Linked DNA regions of Bombyx mori. The protein of the gene in region 2 purifies or fractionates together with the protein of the main gene of each other region. This does not show direct contact. Links are inferred from orthologs where the notes say so. Each region holds a gene or a part of one and is shown on either strand. Other genes may lie near its edges.

Region 1 (5,400 bases), on a different chromosome or scaffold from region 2:
TTACTTCCACCAGCACCTGAGAAACTTCTCAACACAATATTTTGCAACTGCAAGAAAGGGTGTAGTGCAAAATGTGGTTGCAGAAAAGTTGGACTGTTTTGTTCCCTGGCATGCACACACTGTCAAGGCCGATCATGCTCGAATGTTGAGTCACCAACTCTTGAAGATTCGTTTGATACCGATCAGGAATCGCTATTGGGGCAGTTTACGTGTGAAATAGAACAAGAAGAAGAAGAAGAACAAGAGGATGAACAGGAAGAAGAAGGAGAAGAAGATCAAGAAGAAGAAGAAACAGAAATCTTGGACAGTTATGAATCAGACGACTAACTTTTTATTTTAAGTATTTTATTTAATTACACCGCCGTTGTTTTTGCCCACTATAATATATAATATTATTTTGCAATAGTTTTAAAACATATAAAATCTCAGCAGACCCGTGGAATAGGCCTACTGGGGAAACCACGTTAAAAAAAACGCGCTTTGTGTACCTCATAGGTGGCGTGGAAACGTGTGCAAAATAGAGGGATTACGACTGATCCAACTTTTCGGAACGTTATATCTCCAAAATGGTGGCTTTTAGGAAAAAAATTATTGATATATTTTTTGTAGAGAATTTTGTGATCTACAATTTTGTACTGGGGTAATTTTGCGAAAAAACTCACCGTTTCGCTAAAAATCGCAAAAAACTCATTTTTTGACCTTTGACCCCGTGCCAAATTTTTAGCACACCTCGGAACGATGAGGACTTTTGAGATTTTCTTTATAATGATGTTTTGAACAACTATGCCAATATTCAGCTTTATGGGAATTTATGTAAACTTGAATGTGTAAATAGACCGGACTATTAGACCGTACCCAATATCGTATCAATCGATGAACGATAAGAAGATTTGACTAGGTTCAAAATAGGGTAGGGCGTATATCAGCGTGAACGAGTTCATCTACAACAAAGCTATATAGAAGAGTGTGAATCGAGACCCACGGTACAATACGAAAGGAAAAAAGGTCCAAAGTCAAATATAAGAATAAATAATATAAGAAAAATAGAGTGCAAAATAGTAAAAACAATGCGCATGTGCGTGGAGTACGGATTGATAACGGTGAACTATTTTGTGGTTTTTATTTTCTATGTTTTCGACCCCTAGATCAGTGTGCTTTGTGCGAGTTTTTTAACGTTCTCGATAGCGTAAAAGTTAACTCAAATCTGTATGCAATTGGAACAGCGCCCCTAGCGGCAGACGTAGGCAAACGTTCCAATTCCATACAAATTTGCATTAACTTTTACGCTATCGAGAAAAACTCGCACTAACCACACTAGTCGATCAATAAGCGTATCTTTGGTTTAAAATTGTTCAATGTTTCTCGAATCTCAGCTCCTAGCAATATAGAATAGATAATAATTAGAAAATTGAACTTACTTTAAATAGATGTGACCACGCTGGCGTCCTATTCTTGCCAGACATTTCGACGTCAGTGTAACCCACAGCATCTTTGTACAGTCCACAGGCAGTGAGCCTCGACTCAGGGTAGGCCAGTTCTATGAGACCGAGACAGACTTGGCGTAACGTTCTGCAGAGACCGCCAAGTTCCGAGAACTCAAACGCGTGAATCCTGCCACCCCCACCGCCGGCGTTCAACACTATTGAAAAACATCGAATGATGATAAATACTTATCTCTGGATATTTTATTTCGTTGTTATTTTGAGCCACGTTAGTGAAGTCGTACGTGAGTGATACTGTATATATACCGCCGCGCAAAATGTGATACAAGATGGTCGTGTGCTATGCTTAATCGAGTTTTAAATAGGCAGGTTCGTCGACCTATGCCGGGTCAAACATGCTACACTATATGAGATGAGATGTTTTTCGGGAACCTTTTAAACACGTGTAAAAATACTGGTACGCCTGAATCGTAATACGTATTCTAATATTTTAGCCAACAGCAATAAAGAACCAGACGATTTAAATCCTGGACCAAGCTGAATCAAGCGGAACTTCATTGCGCTGAAATATCATTTGGGACAAACTTAAAGGACGAGCTGGTCATAGATTATAGCATAACATTATACTACACAACGATTTACCACAGATGACATAATGCTTCAGATGTGTGACCAATTTGTGGTGAAAAATATTACTAAATGCTATTTAGAAACTTAAGTTCAATAATTCAACTTACACAAAAAATTACATCAAAAGTTAGCTTTAACTGAATTAAGGTCTACTAACAACTTGATATCAGCAAATTGAGAATGATCATTTGATATCAGCAAATTGAGAATGATGATTTGTAGGCAGCGGCTTGGCTCTGCCCCTGGCATTGCTGAAGTCCATGGGCGACGGTAACCACTCACCATCAGGTGGGCCGTATGCTCGTCTGCCTACAAGGGCAATAAAAAAAAAAAAAAAAAAAAAAAAAAAATTTTTACATCGAAAGAGACACAATTTATTATAAAAAACGGTCGTTTGGTTATTTATGTATATATAGATTTTTATAAAGTACAACAAAAGGCATATTAAACTTACCGCTCATTTTCTCATCATCGTCCATATCTTTGCAGAACTCCGTATCGTGTAAGGTTCCGATTAATAGCGAGAACAAGGCGCAGAAGACAGCCAAAGGTGCCAGTAGTCTATGAACACCTATCACAGAAGTTTCGGCACCCATACCGCGGGACAACGCAGACAGGAGAGACGTGGACGAACCACCGAACGAGGAAGCGTGGTTCATATTACTCAACCAGCGCCATAGACCTCGTAAGAATATCGGTTTAAATGCTAGCGTATACAATAACCTAAAAACAATAGCCTATTTCAGGTTTACAAAGAACTAAAGCCAGAAAAAAAGCATATACTTTACTGCGTAGTTTAGTTTAAAAGCTCACAGCTTATGGCTGTCCCACTCTTCAAACCAAAATGGCGGACGCTTTTACGGCAGAAATAGGCAACTCGGTGGACCAACCCAAATGGTCTTATAATACGTCCTACCACCCTCAGTTAACACTTTACCTTCGAAAGCTTTACTGAAACTTCGCAACTAATTTGCTAGTATAAACTTTTTCTTCAATTTAAAACTATTTCATTCATTATTAATTAATTATTATGCTATATGACATTGACATACTATATAATAAAGTTATGCCCTATATAACATATTTAGCATAATAATAGTATACATGTTATTTAAGTAATTATTGTAATCAGATAATTTGTTTTGACATTTAATCACCTGCAAGAATTAAGAAGGGAAACCCTATTCCTATTCTGCGAAGGTTATTTTCGTACAAAATGTTTACGGCCGAATGTGAAAATTGACATTATTCATTGAATATAGACTAAATATGACATGATGCAGATTAACTAGAAATAATATTTTTATGTTTTTCATTAACAATTACCTGTACTTATGCAAAGCCATACGATGACTCAAAAGCAAATTGTGACAGATCTCAGACATGTACTCTAAAAATTCTTCACTTAAATCATTATCTGTTATTTGAGATATGGTGACCATAATGCATCTTTCTGGATCATTCAATAATTCAATACACCGCGTCAGCAGCATCTGTTCACGAATAGAGGTGGGATTCGGTTCGGTTTCGCTGTCACTTTCATCATCTTTGTCCGCTGCAGTTTCTTGACTGTACAGTGAGTCTTCAAATTCGTAGGTGATTTGTTTGTTGCACACATTCTCAGTCAATCTAGCTATTACCTTAAGGTATTCTATTACTATTCTATTGCTTGGCAATCTTGTATTGTCAATATTTTTTATTTCACTTACTGTAAAAAATATTTCATATTTAGCTGTGTTAGGAACGAGCAACTTGGTTAAGTAAATGCAATGGCAGCTGATGTCACATCAAAAATGGAAATATTCCATGTCATAATGTTTGACATTAATATTCTGATCTCTCTAGTGATTATATCTGTTTTAACTGTAGACTTCATGATATACAATACACTCACAAATTTAATATTCATGTCAATGAACTACATATTAGTGCCTTATATAAACAAGTCTATAAACTCTGTGTGGTCTCTTAACATCGAAACAAAATAACTGCTGGCATAAGAGATCGTCGGCATCAACAAGTTTGTACTATAGTCCTGCCAATCGCTAAATAATCATCTGTTCCAGTTTTAATGTAGTCTAAATCCAGTATCTAAGTACTTATCATTAGATAGGCTGTGAAATAATATAGGCAAATTGGCATTTATTGAATTGCTATTTATGCCATGAATTTTTAGTTAGATTTTAAAGCAATAACAATATCATCAATACTTACTAAATTGCTTTGGCTCTAAAACCAAAACCGAATGCAATAACCAAGAATCGTTTATAATCTTTTTACTATGATATTTGTTGTCGTCTTGTAAACACTTTATTAATGCTAAGAATGATAGTTTCTTTGTGGTATCCTGTGCTAGAGATGGTAATATAAACATTTCTACTGGTTCTGGATACGGATTGCACAAAAATGCCGCAGTAAACTCTGTTGTTACTGTATCTCTGAAACAAAATAAATACTTGTCAATATTGAACCCTCGGATTTTAATATAGAGTGCTAAAACCAAAACTGTTCTATGGCAAAGTTTTTACAAATACAATACCTTCCAATAAAGTAAACATACAACTTTTTCCTGTAATCATCATTGTTTTTGCATCTTGTAAAACATAACAAAACAGAAGGTCAAAGGGGAATATTATTTCATTGCTTATCTTCTTTGGCTCTTATGTAAAATACTGTGTAGGTATATAAAAAATATCTTCTGTATAATTACCTTGAAAAGAACTTACTACGAATAAAATTTGCAAAGCTGTATAAGATATAGAGATAATATATATTTATGATTTATGATATGATATATATTTATGTTGCCCTGGAAGATACACAAGCATATGGCTCACCTGATTAGTCATAGTCATGAGGAGTACCAGGGAAACAGCCAAAATGCTACTTATCATTATTTCAGTTAAAATTAATATTATAAAATAAATAATAAGCAACTTACTCATACTGAGGAATGTTCACTCGCAGGATCAGTGACAGAGGGCGCTGAATTAACTCTAAAAGTGCTCCGCTTAATGGGGTGGGTGGGTTTGGTGATGGACCATACATTGGTGGGGTCTTTTCACATATTAATTTACACAGATCCATGAAATAGCCTGAAAAATTATAAAAAAGTACAAGATCAAAGATCATGTTTTTTTTTTAACTTTTACTGAAGTCTTTATTGCTATCATCTTCATCACAATATTTATTGAGTTTTAACAACAAATGAAAGCTGATTATTTTAAGAAAGAAAATTTAGGTAATTTAGTGTCAGAAAACTATGTTAATGAATTATTAATATCTCTTTCTTATAAAACTTGTTGAAACTGTTGAATGTTAATTTGAG
Region 2 (5,587 bases):
GAGCAGTATCAGTTCAGGACAAATGATGCAGCCATACACTTCTAGATAACTGCAAGTTTTGTTTCAGAAGGGTGCAGTAAGCAAGGTGACAAAAAAATCTAATTTATTGAATGAAGGGTTTGTCACTAACTTACACAATACTCAGTGCCTAAATCTGAGCACAATCGAAAACTACTTTTCTTTAAATATTGCTAACAATAACCAATTTAAGATGAATGTAAATTATTCATACAGTCCCAAGTCAAAGCAATTAGACAATAACTTCTATTTCAACTAATCAATTAAATGTTATATATCCAAACACATTATTTCTTGTATTTTTTTATTTTTACATTAATTCCTAAATTATGTGAACCATTTTAGTGTATAAGCTTGCTTGCACCAGTCACAGTCTTGTCTAATTTTCGTAGAACAATTGTATGTTCCCGTTTGAAGACTGTTATACCAAAGCTAACATAAATACATTGTAATGTTCATTTTCTCTATTTTAATGTCAAGATCTTGTGGCTTTGATATACATGTTTATATCTACAGTAGTCAAAAATACATTGTTCATAAATTTCACTAAACAGCAATATTGTATATTAGATAGATTGGAAGCCACAATGGGAGTAATGAGTCCATTTGGTTCCCAATATTTCAAAAGCACAACATGAGTAATCGTAGTTGAGTAATAGAATTTGTTTAGAAATCATAGTATTATTGTGATGAAAAGTTGTTAAGAATCTTTTTTATATTTTTGTCTTTTAAGCTATTTTTATAATAAAGTACCTGAAAAATTAAATAGCACTTATTATTACAGTTTTGGTCGGTGAGTCATGCAACATTGATGGCACTCCTCTGATAGCAGAGAGGCACATTAAGCTGATAATTAATTCAAGCTGCTATCATGATTTTATTGAGTTTATACGAGAAGAGTTGAGTAGCAAATTTTTCAGTCAGTGGACCTGTCTGATTTGTATGTTGTGTCGGTTGCAACCATGCTGCTACAGTGAGGGTAGATCTTTCATTCATAAACTGCATGCACGCACACACATGCAAGTCTTCCCTCGAACACAGTAGCAAGTGATAGGGCCAGAGCCATCAATTTTAATATTTATTTTATTTACCTTGAGGTGAGGAGGGAGTGTCTTAAAGAGAATTGGATTAACTGTGTGAATGAAGAGTATGAGTTCAAGAGATAACATATGATAAGCTTTGACTAAAAAAATAAGTGTGGGAAAGTGACTGTTGTACTATAGAACTGGGACTCATCTCAAAGTGGACAATGGAGTCGAATACAGAGCACTCCATCTATGAACTTTTATTCATTGTGGTTTATTCAGAGAGAGGCAGTATTGAACAATTCATTACAAAATATGTTAGATGCTGTTCAAGATAAACTGTGATCTTCTATCAATAAAACATGTATCCAGGTAACTAATGTTTCAAAGGATGTTCTAAAAATAAAACTGTTTGTAAAAAATCACATTTATTATTATTTAATTACAACTAAGCTAAAATTAAGATTTCTGATCCTTCAGTTTTTCCAGTTGTTGCCTGAAATGAAATAAAATTGTTTCAGATATAATTTACATTTGGTAACTGCTCTCCAGCAGTCCATACTCATCATATGTAATGACTAATAATGTTAGAAACATAAGTACCAACAACTAATTATCTTAAAAGATTATACAGTACATGAGAGTCATTGCAAACCAGCGCAGATCGTCCCATTCGTGCCTTCCTGCAGCAATGTACTAAAGGAGGCTGATTTCTATGGAAAGCATGTATCTAACTCAAACTAGACTTCAGTATTATATTTCAGAGTGGCCAATTGAGTTCCTATTATGGTCTCTATGTGCTTTAATTACTGATACTAAGTGCATACTCTTATATAACCAGAAATATCAATATTTATAAAAAATATTCAATCTATCTTTTTACACAAGATTTATAAATTTGAAACAAGTTTCAATGCTAATTGTATGTACTAGATGACATTTCAACTAAAGATTGATTGCTGTAACATCAACATAAAGGTATTTAATAATATTTAGAGCAAACAAGAGGCATGTTCCTGCTGTAAAATAAAATAAAAACTAGGTGCGTTCGAGGCACGAGACAAATTAAAAATATAAATTTATAAAATTTTGTTTTAAGGTTTGGGTTTTAAATAGTTCTAGAACTTAAAATATAGCTTACTGTACTATAATATTAAATGAAGTCACATCAGTAGTGTTCGCTTAGAATTTACTGGTGATAGGAGCTCTTGTGAGTATGTACGGGTAGGCATCACCACCCTTCTGCCGTAAAGCATTTCAGTTTGAAGGGTAGGGCAGCCGTTGTAACAATACTGAGACATTACACGGGCGGCATTAACGTTGTAGATGTCTATGGGCTCCAGTAACCACTTAACGCCAGGTGGGCTGTAAGCTTGACCACCCATGTAAGCAATAAAAAAACATGGACATTTATTCAGATAGCATAAATATATAATGGAGAACAGAAGCTTGGTCCTTATTATTCTAAATTTAATCAGAAACAATACTGTCTACGATTTGCTACCAAAAGGTTCTTGGCTACTTTGGTCATATTTCTCAGCGGCCACCAAACAACCTTGAAAAATTGTCTGTAGTGGGCAAGGTAGAAGGGAAAAGACAGCCGGCCGGCCGCCGAACTGTTGGTCGGATCAGGTAACCGCGCTGATCGAACTCTCTGTTGCGACCGCCCTGAGAGAAGCCGAAAACCGAACGAAATGGAAGCTGATGGTACAAAGAGCCACGAAGGCCTTTCAGGGACATGACCTTCAGCAATGGGGTATGCGATTAAGAAGAAGAATCAAATACGACAGCAATTGGGCCCATATGAAGGTAACAGAAATCTTTAAGATCTAACCTCAACTGCTGATTAAAATCATCTTGGATGACGTCGTCTTCCCAGTTGTCTTCCCAAACCGATACATCTTCATCATCAGCGTCTTCTGTACCCCAATCTACAAGAAAATTTGAATTAAAATAGAATGAATGAAAACATTTTTTGTTAATTTCTTAATATTCTTCATCTGGAGGTTTACGTACTTTCCGCGGGAAATTCTTCGAACTCGTCATCCTCTTCTAGCAAACCAAGGTCTACTTTCTGTTTGTCAGCCATTACACTGTGATGATTATTGAAATAAGGAAATATCACTTAATGTAGCAGAATAAATAAGATGCAAGTCACAACACAACTGTCACGTAAAATGTAAATTCACAACAATAAACAGTGTTGCCAGATGACCGTGCGAATTTCCCCCCAACTTTTTTCGAAAACCCCCCGAAAATAGGCTTTTTGAAGAAAAAAACCCCCAAAACAGTTTTTACTTATTTTAAAGAAGAAATAAAAAACCAAAAGGATTCTTTTATTTTTTAATCAAGCTATCCCTATAACTTCAACCATCTCTAAGCAATTATCACGATCATATTCACTTTCGTTATTATTATTTAAAGCATACTCGTTTTCGAAGTTAAAGATATTTAACAAGTCCGATGTGGGAACAAAATTTATACATCTATTTGGCAGTGAAGATCGAATCCTGAGAACCGCTTCGGCAGTTTCTATTGCTATTTGGTTGCATTATTTGTCCTTTATAATATTGACTTGTAAATAGTATAGTAGACTATAATTATTCTAATAGTAATTGCAAATTGATACTCAAAAAACCTCCGAAACTTCTCCCAACTAACTTTTTCCCCCCGAATGTCCCCCCAAAGAATCTTTCTCCCCCAGAGTCGAAAAACCCCCCAAATTTGCAGGGAATCCCCCCCATCTGGCAACTGTGACAATAAATTTTGATGTCAGAACAACGTGGTGCTGCCTGTATTGTGGTTGTTTTTTCCGAATTTAGAAATATTTAAGCAACTAGGTATTTGTTTTCACATAATATATTTCATCTCTTTTCCACCATGGTACCCCATGTCACCGTAGTAGAGTTAATTCATAGTACTTTTTTATATCTTTATGTAATATCTTTTTTGCCATACACCATCTGGCTTTGGAAATAACTTTTCTGTACGATGCTTCCTGAGCGCAATGTCTTATTCTTCTTAAAACGAGTGTTGATAACACTACTACAAAGACAATAAAAAGGGACATATTCCGTTTGCACTTAAATTTGATTCGAACAATCTCCACCTTTAAAAAAACGAGTTCATCTTAATAGTTTTCTTTACCTAATGCAGAAAAATTATCAAATCAAAAAGGATCTGAAATCCCTTCATTGTTGAACCCTTTTTTAAAAAAAAAAAATCCTAATCGTACTCAAGGTTGGAACCTTGAGTGTTAGTCGTGGAGCCGGTTAAATTAATATAATTGAAGTGTGAATGAGTAACCTAATTTTGCCGCAAGAAAAACAATTACAAAATCTGTGTACTTAAAAGTATTGCAAGAAGTATTTCTACTTGCGTGTCCTAACTAACATCATCGACGATTCATTTGGTATCCGAATCGTGAAAGTATAACTTTTGTGTTCAAAGTTGAGCTTTCTATCTTTTTATTTTATTGTACTAGTATTAATGATTAATACTTTAGCTGCCTTCTTGTTCACAAACACGAACATAACTTACCTACTCTGTTTATCATTGTAGGCAATGAAACAACTTAATAACCTTACACTCGTTTATTTTTAAAATATTGTCGGAGGATAAACAAAGTACTTAACTTATTAATAACATCGCTTTTTATTATTATTTAAGATATTACAATATAAATATAAAATCACAAAATATCACATAGAAATGTGTTTTCAGACTATAGGTAAATAACATGGTAAATATTTTATACATATACTTAGTATTTACTCAAATTTCCAGTTCCAATTGAAATAATACATTATATAGTAAGGTAATAATAGAAAAAGACAAAAAACAAGCAACAATTTAGATTTTGTTGTATAAAATTTATTTTAAGATGAAAACTATTTTTGGGAATAAATTAAAATCATGCCCCATTTTTTTTATTTCTATACAAAAATGAATCCATGCATTTTGCATACCAAATCTGAGTAACGAACAGGACTATAAAAATGTATAGGATTCCAATAATTTCTTTACAAAAATTGTCTCCTGTCGTGTTTTACTACTAAAAACTTAATATAAAAGATATGTATACTTTATAGTAAAATGTAGATACTTATAATACGTCTCAAAATGAAACATGTTTCGATCTAACATAATATATAAAAAAATGTAAATATTGTCGAGATCGAAATAAAAAAACTAACAAAATAATGTTTCGTCCACGATCTGAAATTAAGCGTTACAATTTTACAAATCTTTAATTTCCCATAAAATAATGGGAACTCCTACAGTACAAGGAAAGTAATATAAATGTGGCAGCACCAACAACCTTCTTAATTTTAATTTGACAAAGGCACCTATCGCGCTCGGCCACCTAAAAGGACCACATCCCTGATTATTTTGTCCAAAAATTAATGATAATTTACGATTTAACGACATTCAAAAAGCAGGTAGTGGTGAAGAGTTTTAGGTATTTCCATAGTTTTGACCGCGTGGGGGAAGGAGGGGCCGAACTGTTTCCGGAGGAATATCCTGACTTGTGCCAATAGGGA

What was found. The genes of interacting proteins can lie anywhere in the genome.
Region 1: the proteins of 26S proteasome complex subunit SEM1 (region 2) and ubiquitin-protein ligase E3C purify together in Homo sapiens (affinity purification with western blotting; 3 studies listed by BioGRID and IntAct, with this or other methods). This does not show direct contact. The link is inferred for Bombyx mori from reciprocal best matches to the Homo sapiens genes SEM1 and UBE3C.

Annotation. Positions count from the first base shown.
Region 1 is NC_085111.1:13,500,417-13,505,816, forward strand, and holds part of ubiquitin-protein ligase E3C, read right to left. Parts: intron 5,168-5,400; coding exon 5,014-5,167; intron 4,511-5,013; coding exon 4,287-4,510; intron 3,781-4,286; coding exon 3,399-3,780; intron 2,796-3,398; coding exon 2,527-2,795; intron 1,640-2,526; coding exon 1,419-1,639; intron 1-1,418. UniProt on the Homo sapiens protein: E3 ubiquitin-protein ligase that specifically catalyzes 'Lys-29'- and 'Lys-48'-linked polyubiquitin chains.
Region 2 is NC_085129.1:15,971,895-15,977,481, forward strand, and holds 26S proteasome complex subunit SEM1, read right to left. Parts: upstream 3,205-5,587; 5' UTR 3,133-3,204; coding exon 3,060-3,132; exon of another isoform or gene 2,975-3,059; coding exon 2,808-2,974; 3' UTR 1,455-2,807; downstream 1-1,454. Other genes in the region: importin subunit alpha-5, read left to right, coding at 1-45; ankyrin-3, read right to left, coding at 5,465-5,587. UniProt on the Homo sapiens protein: Component of the 26S proteasome, a multiprotein complex involved in the ATP-dependent degradation of ubiquitinated proteins.